Drosophila melanogaster: one gene and its partner. The protein of the gene in region 2 purifies or fractionates together with the protein of the main gene of each other region. This does not show direct contact. Each region holds a gene or a part of one and is shown on either strand. Other genes may lie near its edges.

Region 1 (4,868 bases), on a different chromosome or scaffold from region 2:
CCAAAATATGTCACAAGGCTGAAAAACGCACTTTTTTAGTCAGCTGGGGTCCTCAGCTAAAGACCCATATCAATATTTGCTTTAATTTGGAAAAATAATTTTTCGGCCAAATTTCGCATTTTTTGTAAGGGGTAACATCATAAAAAATCGAAAAAATTTTCAAACCAAAAATTTCTCTAAATGAGTTACCCGTCGTTTAGGAATATTTTTACAAGTTCAACGAGGTATTCCACTCCACAATTGGACGTGTCTTTCCCAAGATATAGCACTTTTTCTGTGAAATCCCCATCGAAAATTATCAACAAGAATAAAATCACCCTCGTTTTCCATCTGAAAAAACTCCCTCAAAAACAAACGCATATACAGTTTATTTCGTTACATATATATTGTTATTTATTTAAGAACTTGCTCGTCTAATTGACAGAAAAATATAAAGATATAGGATGTATTGAATGGGTTGTGCTGAGTGTCTTACTATGCGAATGAGCGATTCCACTTAAGCCTAGGCGAAATCTCGGCGATTGCATAATGTGGAGCCCCCTCCCGAGGTGTACGGAAATCACAAGTGGTTGATAAGAAAGAACAGACGTGGAATTTTGCTGTGCTGGTTTGAGGATCGCAGTCGAACGGATAATTTATTGGCCAGTCGCCGACTTGGCTGGTGATGATTTAATAGCGGACCCTCGGGAAGGCTCTCTGGGCTGACAGATAACAGATAACTCGACTGGCTGATAATTTTGATGCGTGACTGGGCGCTGCGCCTTCTCTATCTCCACCTCCTTACAGGGTCTTGTCGAACAGGAACTCGCCCAGTTCGCCGTTGGTGTCCATCATCTTCTTGAGAGTGGTCAGCTTGCCGGCGAGCTCGCGCTGTCCGTGGAGCTGCTCCTCCAGATAGACACCGGTCAGGTAGTCCACCAGGTGGTAGTGGTTGTAGGGCTTGTTCTCGCAGGTCTGGATCAGCTTGCGGATGGACTTGGTCACCTTGATCTCCAGGTCGAGGGCGTCGGACAGGGCGGCGGCACCATCGGTCCACTCCTGCTTGGCCACAGTCTGTGGGGGATTCGCCAGGATTAGCTGGGCTTTTGGGTTTTCTAGGCGAGTCGTCGACTTACCGGCACATTGATCAGATCGCTGACTCCCTCGGTCAGTTGACCGCGCATGGACAGGTACTCCACCAGCTTGGATCCGTGCTCACGTTCCTCCTTGGCGGCCTTGAAGAAGTGCTCGGCGAATCCAGGGCGGTTGACGGTGTCGCGGGAGAAGTAGGCGCCCATGGCCAAGTACTGGTAGGAGGCGTTGATCTCCTCCTGGATCTGATTGCGCATGCCCTTTATGCAGGCATCCTTCATGTCCACCCAGTCCTTGGTAATCTCAGGAACAGCCAGGGAGCCTGCAATGGGATAAGGTTGGGTTAAGTCGGGGGACCACGATAACAATATATGGCTAGTATTCAGCTTTAAAAAATTTATTTTTGTAATCAGAACTTAGGTAAATTTTAATATTTTAAAAACCTTTGCACTCTTGGTCTTGACCTTCATGGCTTAGGTTTTGTTTTTCTTTTAGTTGATGCTCTTCTCGCTCCCTTTGAAGCTCTCTCACGAAACTCTTGCTTTCTTGCTTGGCTGAGGGGTAGGGCGTTGTTGGTTATTGCATTTAAGAGGGCGTAATTGCATAAACCTTTGAAATTGCGCTTGAAATGCCGCTATTCTAGGGCACAAAAACCGTGTGCAAAACTGTAATGGCCTACTCTCCCACTCTCTCTCTCTGTTTTTGTAACTGCATTGGTAACGTGCGCAGCTCTCGCCGCCATAGTAACGGCATTTGTTTTCGTGTAGTGCCGTGTGCAAAAAGCATGGTTCACCATGCTAGCTCACTCGGCCCGTAAAAGCCGTGTGCAAAGAGCGCCTTGAAATGTAACAACAAAAAGTCAAGCTTATTTATACCGCAATATTCATGGAAATGAAAGCGAAATTCGCATTATTTAATTATGAAAATTTATGTATAAAAACTGGTTATCATTTCCCCAAAGCGCAACGGAAGTATCAATAACTTTTAAATCAACTGGTTTGGTAACTTCACTTCATTGACGAAAGAGAGTGAAAGAGCGTCAAAGAGAAACGGCGCATGCTCTTTTCAACGCATTACAAATGTTTTGCTTCTCTTTGCGTATTGCGTCGAAATTTATTGTTTTTTTTCCGATGACCTGCCTTTGTTTTGTTTGAAATTCTGATGAATAAAACGTAACATTAGTACTTACACTTGAAATCTCCATAGGCCTGGGCCACCACGGCCAACAGGAGCAGGCTAGCAATTAGTTTCACCATCTTTGATCGTCGAACGTAGTCTTTACACAAAATCACAGAACAAAAATTTGTTTTTCACTTTAGTTTGATTTGCTTGAAATGCACAAATGAGAATGAGGCGACTCGAGTTGAGCTACAATGTTAAATAGGCGTTGAAATTGAAAATCTAGCTGCCTTTACACACACTGGCGCAGAAGGCGTCGCCTGCTTCAATTTGATGGGCTTGATTGGGATTATTTTCGACTTCTCGAATGCTTTCCAGTACCTTCTGCTGACAGCTTTAATCTGATTTTTCAGTGGAGCTAAGGCCTTTCTACGTTGTGTTTTAGCGAACTCGAAAGCGAACTGTCGCTCCGAACGGCGCACAAAACACTTTTAAGCGCGCGCGCTCTCGGTTTTTCTTCGTGTGTGTGTGAGTGATGGGAGAGTGTGCACTGTTATCTTTTCAACATGTCGCCCGTTCTTTGTTAACCGTTTAAATGGCTGATAATTGAATATTCCCGATAATTGCCGCACTCAATGTGATACACACGTCCTCAATATGGGTATACTTTGTATAAAGTCGGGTTTCCTAGTCAGATAATCCCCACTTACTAAGAAGTAAATTTATCAAATGCAATATGGCCGCTCTTTTGAGATGCGCATCAGCTGTTCTTTGTTTTTGTTTTGGCCGTGGGAGAGCACCACGTCATGTGTTGCCAGGCGGTTTAATTATTGCTGACAATTTAATTCACATTTTGTCAAGTTGATTTGCACGTTCGAAGGGGGGATCAGTCACCCACTTTGATAACTGCTAATATGGCGACGGCTCTTTTTTACGTGTCGCTTGCAGAGCTCCAAGAATGACACTTGATAAGAAGGATACATGGTGGGAAAACTTACAAATTACATAATTTGTTTGTTGATTGGGGAAACCCTACATTATCTCCGAACCCAGCAATAATATGTATTGTAAATAGCAACAGTCTCAAGCTCGATGCTGCTGTGAATTACCAATATATCAAAACTTAAAACATTATCTTAGGAGGTAGATGGTTTATCTGCAGTTTATTTTCAATTCTCATCGTTAGCTGATAAAACTCTCAGGAAACCACTTGAAATCCAAAGTGCAGCGTCCATATTTTGCACACGCTGACAACCCTGTCGTGAGTCACCTTCCAGCAGGCGCAGCAACAACAGCACTGGCAGCGGCCATATTTGAATGACACCGAAATCCCGCACTGAGCGCAAAACAACACATGCCCATGCACGCTCTCCAAAACCACACACACACAGCCATATCGATCGCATAGAAAGAGACGTACGCGACGCTATAAACAGCAGTTGATTTTCAGAGTTTCACCAAGAAGCACATAAAGCGATTGAATTATTAATAAAAGCACAGGCACTGGAAGTGAGTTTTAATATTACTAACTAACTACTTTGTGAGTGTTTAGTTACGAAAACTAGAAAATAATATTCTGGAAACTGTGTTTTTAAACCGACCACCATATAAATTTAAAAACCAAAACATTCCATTGGTGGTGGTTTTGTTGTTAAAAAAGAGCACAGAAAATTCAAGAAAACGCTACGACGCAAAACGAAAAAACTCGCCCAAAATGAAAACAAAAGTGTCTGTTTTCCAATTGTCAATTGTTGTGAAACTAATTTCCTTTGTTTTCGCCTCTCGAATTTGATTTTAATTTACAGTAAACCGTCGACATGAAATTTTTCGTTGCACTCGCTCTCTTTGCGTGCCTCGGCTCTCTTGCCTTGGCCAAGGATGATGAATATTGCCAGAACACTGTAATCACCGCATGCTCTACGTCAGCCTTTTCGGGTGAGTAAAGAGAGCGCCTCTAAGAGAGAGTGGCTAATCTGTGTTGTTGCTTTTTGTATCTTTGTAAAACATAATAATAAAAACAAGCGCTCACGGGCTTTTTCACAGGCAAGAGTAAGTGAAATATAGATTGGATGTATTTCTGCACTATCTCAGATTTCGTGAAAATGAACACTTTCCAATTCTTACTGCATTACGGCCCTTACATTATTATTTTAAAGATACAAATACAAATTCAAAATTCTATTGCCTTGTTTAGTATGGCACTACCTAGTTAGGAACCATTAAGACTATGTCATTACTATTGGATGTGCTTCTGCTCTCCTATTCTAAGAGTGTGATCTTTATTATTTGCTTTTTCCCCGTAGCCAACTCCATTTGTAATGCCCGTTTTGCTGGCATTGACCATATTGAGCCCGAGATCCAGTCCTACATCAACGCCAACTTGGCCAAGTCGTACGACTACCTCCTGCTGGCCACCCACTTCAACTCCTACCAGAAGAACCGCCCCGGCTTCCAGAAGCTGTACCAGGGACTCTCGGACCGCTCCTTCGAGGACAGCATTGCCCTGATCAAGCAGGTGACCCGTCGCGGAGGAATCGTTGACTTCAACACCCGCCACGAGTCTTCCGGCTCCGTGAGCACCAAGCGCGGCACTCTTGAGGTCGACGAACTGCACTCCCTGGCTCTGGCTCTGGACACCGAGAAGCAGCTGGCCACCGGAGCCACTCACGTGCACTCCC
Region 2 (5,521 bases):
AACACTGGAGGGCGCTTATTTGCGTTTCACATTAAGCGAAGGCAACTAAAAAGGAGCTTAGCAAGGACTTAGCATGTGCCGTCGCCTTTCCTCTCGTGTCTGTTTGTTTGGGCTTATACTTTGCATGAGTTGACATCTTTATTGCCAATTTATGTCCTTCCTGGCCCATTCGCAATTCGCAGGTAATTTCGCTTTGGGCGTGTCCAAACGGGGAAAAGGGAAGTGAAATATAAAACGAAATTGACCTCGTCATCGCCATATCTTAATTATTTGACAGACCGCAGAAAATTTACCCAGTTTCTACTTAAGCATTTACGGATTTACGTTTTTAATTTCGTTTCACTCGCAAGCGGAATCAATTTGAAATACAGCCTACGTGTTTGTTTAACAAAATATTTTGGGTGGCGGCATAAATGGCGTAACCGAGCGGCAGTTTTATGGTTGATTTGGGTTTTCACTTCTTTTCGTTAGTTTATTTGTATGTTTTATTACGCTTTTCTTTTACGCTGCTGCAGAGGAAAATCAAAAAAGTTCGAGGAGCGGCCTAAACTTTATAGTAAGGAACTTTATGGCAAGTAAAAAAGAAAAGGCAGCTGGCGAATATTTATGAACCACTACAGCCCAAATGAAATTGAATATTGAATAGCCTTACCGTGAATATAAGAACTGATTTAATTTTCTTGCTACGCACAAACTTTCAAGGATTATCCAGAATATTTCAGCGATTCCAAGAAGCCCCAATTAGCTGAGTTAATTTCAAGGCAAATGTTACGAGGAAAACCAAGTGAGCAGCACACATAAACCAGCAAATTAAAAGCTGTTGGCAGCGGGAAAATTGCTAAGCAATAATAATAATTTGTGGCATTAACAGGGAGCGAAATTTTCTGGCTAACTTTTCCCGTGCAGTCAGCCATTGATAAAGTGTCGCTATACAATTTATCAGCACTCCCTTTGGGAAACTGGGAAATGAAAATTGGGAGGGGAGCGGGAAAACGTGCGGAAAACGGCGGCAAAACAAACAGTTTCTGCCACTACTACTGCTGCACCTGCCACAAGGGAAAGCTGGCTGTGGTAATTTATGAGTCAGTCTCTGGAAACGCTGTGCACCTCGATGGTTTTTCATATTTTCATTATATCAAAAAGGAGCAAATAAACCGCACAAAGTTCCTCCTTTTTTTGGGGTTTGCAAATGGTATTAGCCCCGAACTTTGCATCCAAATTTGGGCTGAGTAAAAAGTTATTGTGGTGAAAATTTAAATGAATAACTAAGTAAATTGAAAATAATTGGATATGTATGTATTTTCAGGAGGCAAGTATATAAAATTTCCAGTGAATTATGGCAGAAGTTTTAAATAATTCGAGTTATTTTTCCAACTAAAATTTAATTTCGTACAATAGAAGAATAACAAATGAGGCCATAACTTTACGTGTACATTTATAAATAGAATTAATTATACATTTTTGTATTGTAAGCAAATATTATAGAAAAGTAGACAATTTTTGATATGTCGTTAAAGGTTTTTTGCTTTCAAGCAAAGTAAACGTTATTATCACTTTACTGCGAATCATATGTCGTAAACTAAATTGTGCCCCCAAAAGCAAGCTATGGAATTTGTGTTATCCTGCGGCCCATATCGCTGGCCATAAAAGTGACTTCTGACTACGCTTATTAGATACCATAAACAGGAGCATAACCTACGTTAATGCGCATTGGGGAAAAAAAATGCCCAAGGCGACTGTGGGACAACGAGGCGGCTACTTAACAAAGTTAAGGACCTAACACAAATTTGCCATCGGGCGCATAAAAGCGCTTGCGGATGTAGTGGCGTGTAATGGAGTGCAGTGTATACATCCAAATGCAAACATCCCTTTATATATAAATTTATATATACATATATGTGTATACACTTAAACAATTCATATTTGCGACACCATTAAGCAGCGGGCCGCGGGGAGCCCGGAAAACTGGGGGAAAATGGAAAAGTGGCAAAGAAAAAAGGCAAATGCGATAACGCCGTGCTCCCAGCGTGTTGATACAGTAAATAATACTCGAACCCCTGGACACAGGATTTTCATTCATCCGCACACACACAGGACACCGAAAAAAAGTCCTATAAACTAAAAAAAATTTAGTGTCTATTCTTCGCTTCTTTAAATATTTGTACAATTTCGGTTTTTTACTATAGCTGTAAAGATTTTTCTTAATTCAGAAAGTAAGGAAAATCACCACACTTTGATGTGATGAACATTTTCTCCAAGTGCACCCACACACACGCACGCACACCGAATGTTGAACAGTCGTTAATATGAATGTATTGGATATCGGAGATTGAACGGGCCTTACCTTCGTCCTCGTCGTCATTGAACTCCGTGATTGCCGCCTTGTCGCAGGGACGATCAATGCCATTTGTTGCTTCCGACTTGCCACTCCCCCCGCCAACTGCGCCGCCCCCGTTGGCCGCCTTCGCCTCGCCGTTGGAGATAATTGAACTGGATTTGGCGTGATTCGTATGATTGCTAGCGGATGACTTGGATGACTCGCCCTCCAAGGGAGGAGCACTGGGCTCCGGTTCGCCGTTGCTGACCGCATCCATGGCTGCGCCATCCTTCGTCTTTAGCTCCTGGCTGGTGTTGCAGCCCATCTTATTGGATCGAGGATTTGGCAATTTAGTCCGCGGCTTTTGATGGAGTCTCTACGCTTCCAGTTGGCCTAGGTTACCCTTGTGTTGTTTAATCAATTGCACACACACACACTATAGTACACACACACACATCCGAACTGGAAACTAGTTTATAAACGATACTTGTTGTTTCTGGGCCAATTTGCACTTTGACTTTCGCGAGCTGAAACCTTTTTCGCATTAAATGTTTACAAAAATACGTTGTGCCTCGGTAATTTTTTTTGTTCAAAAAACTTTGGTGTTTACAAAAGTCATTAGAAAAAGGTGCACAACCACAATTTACTAGCCAAAGAACTCGCACGGAACCGGAAGCGGAAACCAGCTGGATGGCAGACTCGCAGCGAAACTGACTGTCTCTGGCACAAGCTCAGGCACAACTGACTTTGACACTGAACGGCGCCGGCGACGCGTCCTCACTGCGGATGCCACGGACCCCGAATGCCCGATATCCCCACATCCTGCAGGAGCTGGAGTTTCGAGCTCAACAAGCAGCGACGCGCCAGCCGGCAGGCAACGACACACAAAGCCCAGGGAAACAGAGAGCCAGGACCTCGAGGAGAGATAGGAATAGGAAGCGAGAGAATTCTCTCTCCCGCTCTCTCGCAGGACTCACAGTGGGCAAAAATATATGGTTTATACATGTATGTGTAGAACTTAATTGTCTCAAAATTTCAAAGAAATTAAATAAAATAAAAATAAATGGTTAAACAAAAGCCACTTTTCCTCTGATTTTTTTTGGCAATAATCACAAAATCAGGATATGATATTTAAGTTTATGTTGGGATCTACAAATCAATGAATTAATTCAATTTCAATAAGCTTCTTATAAATGAACAATATTACAACGATGTATTAAGTGGCAAATAAATGACTTTTTTGTCTAAATATTTATTCTAAATAATTTTTCCTTCATGTATACTACTGTTTAGCAAGGGACTAAAAAAGAGACCCGAGAAGAGAGTGGCTCTATCCAGGCGGCAACGGCAGCAGCTGCCTCTGTTGTTGTTAGCCAGCGCTGGCTGCAAACTTTTTCGCAAATAAACAAACCGACTGCCGAATCCGACTCACAGATACGCACGCACACAGCCATGCTAGGAATGTGGCTTAGAGGCGCCGCAGAAACCGTTGTGGTGGCAACACAACCAGAATCCAAAGAGCGGCAAAGGCAGCCAAGGCAATGGCATCATCATCGAGAAAGGAATGGCCACACTCACACCAGCGCAGGCCAAAGGACTCTCTCACACACACACACACATACATACACATTGCGTGTAACCAGGCACAAACAGCTGAATGAAGAAAGCCCAGCCAAAATGAATGCAAATAAAAAGAATATATATTCAAGCAGAAAACCTGGCCCATAAAAATATCAATGAGCACCGGCCGCTCCCTTGAGTATATATAGCAATTCATAAAAGCAACTAGCTTTTGCATCTCGTACAGCTCAGCTGTCATCTGGCTTCCTTTTTGTCTTGGCATTAATATTTGGGAGTTGGCTCTTTGGCTTATGTATGAGTGAAGACGCTGCGATGGTGTGCGTGAGACAAATGAATTGGTTTAGCTTTTATTGTGTCTGCGATTCCTTTGTAGTTCCCTGTATTGCTTAGTTATTGTATCCCAAAATCTCCCACTTAATTTGCAATGCTTTAGAACTTTTGAATTTAAAAAGTATGGAATTTATGAATAAATTATAAATTCTAGAATTAAAGTGTATAATTGGGATGGCAATAAAGTTTTGTGTATACCACCTTTTATCTTAGAGATAGTACCATAACAATCAAGCTGAAGTGCGCATAGTCTAGTTGAAGTGCAAGCCACGAATACTCGTAAAGTGGGCGATATGCAGGCCTTGGGCCAATTTTAATCAAAACTTCCCTTGCTTACCCACAAAATGAATCCCGCATATGTATGTACATATGTTATTATATTACAGATGTCTGAGCATATGCAAATTAGCTTCACATTGCAAACGTGGCATAAGTGCGCAGAATAAACAGCCCGAAATGGGGCAGAAACAGGCTGAAAGGCATTGGTAAATATGTACCAATAACAGAGAGCTCTGTTTTAAGCACAATAAAATTATTAATTAAAGCGAGACCATTTAATTAACATGTCCATTAAAAGGTGCAGCCTTGATAAAAGCTATAGTCAAGCTACAAAAAAATCGAAACTGTACAAATTAATTGAGTTTCAATGGACATAAAATCCACCAGGGCTTTCTGAATTTCGATTCAAATTTAATAAGAGCTTTCCAAAAAGAACAGAGACAAATTTATATTGCTGGAAAATCGAGCCAAAGAAAAATAAATAAGAGAATATCGCTGTTGCAAAGCCATTGATTTAAGTCTCCCCTTTAAAATTCACATTCTCGAGCACGTAGGATGCCAAAAAGGCTAGCAATTAAGTGCGAGGATCTCGTCCCCATCGCAGCAGTTGCACTCTGGCGAACAAAAGCGGGATGGGTCAGGACAAGAGCAGGAACTTGTCGCCGCTCGGAAACTGATGGAAAAACAGCCTTGAAAGCGTGAATTTGCACACCCCAAAAATGCCGGGACAAACAGAAGAGCCTCAAAGTTGGTGGCAAAATCCAAGGGCGAGAATTCCAAAGTCCCTTGGCACTTGACTACCACTTCATGAGGCCAAAAACGACAGAGACACATAAACCCTTTCAAGTCCTGATAAAATGACTGACAACGCGAGTCTCGAGACTCGAGAGTCTTAGGCCCAAAACTTTGCGCATCATTTGCCAGCGGAAATGCCTAGGTCATTATGTTGCCCAAAAGATATAAATAGCTTTGTTTTTCAGATAAAAACGTTTGGCTTTTCGATTTTTCTTCTTC

The links.
Region 1: the proteins of igl (region 2) and Fer1HCH purify together in Drosophila melanogaster (affinity purification with mass spectrometry, with the first as the bait; one large-scale study listed by BioGRID). This does not show direct contact.

Annotation. Positions count from the first base shown.
Region 1 is NT_033777.3:30,385,204-30,390,071, forward strand, and holds Fer1HCH (ferritin 1 heavy chain homologue), read right to left. Parts: upstream 2,417-4,868; 5' UTR 2,328-2,416; coding exon 2,261-2,327; intron 2,207-2,260; exon of another isoform or gene 1,909-2,206; coding exon 1,900-1,908; exon of another isoform or gene 1,681-1,899; intron 1,626-1,680; coding exon 1,515-1,625; intron 1,394-1,514; coding exon 1,116-1,393; coding exon of another isoform or gene 1,095-1,115; exon of another isoform or gene 1,054-1,094; coding exon 781-1,053; 3' UTR 599-780; downstream 1-598. Other genes in the region: Fer2LCH (ferritin 2 light chain homologue), read left to right, coding at 4,008-4,125, 4,213-4,239, 4,494-4,868. UniProt on the Drosophila melanogaster protein: Stores iron in a soluble, non-toxic, readily available form. Important for iron homeostasis. Iron is taken up in the ferrous form and deposited as ferric hydroxides after oxidation.
Region 2 is NT_033778.4:15,153,039-15,158,559, reverse strand, and holds the start of igl (igloo), read right to left. Parts: upstream 3,124-5,521; 5' UTR 2,643-3,123; coding exon 2,345-2,642; intron 1-2,344.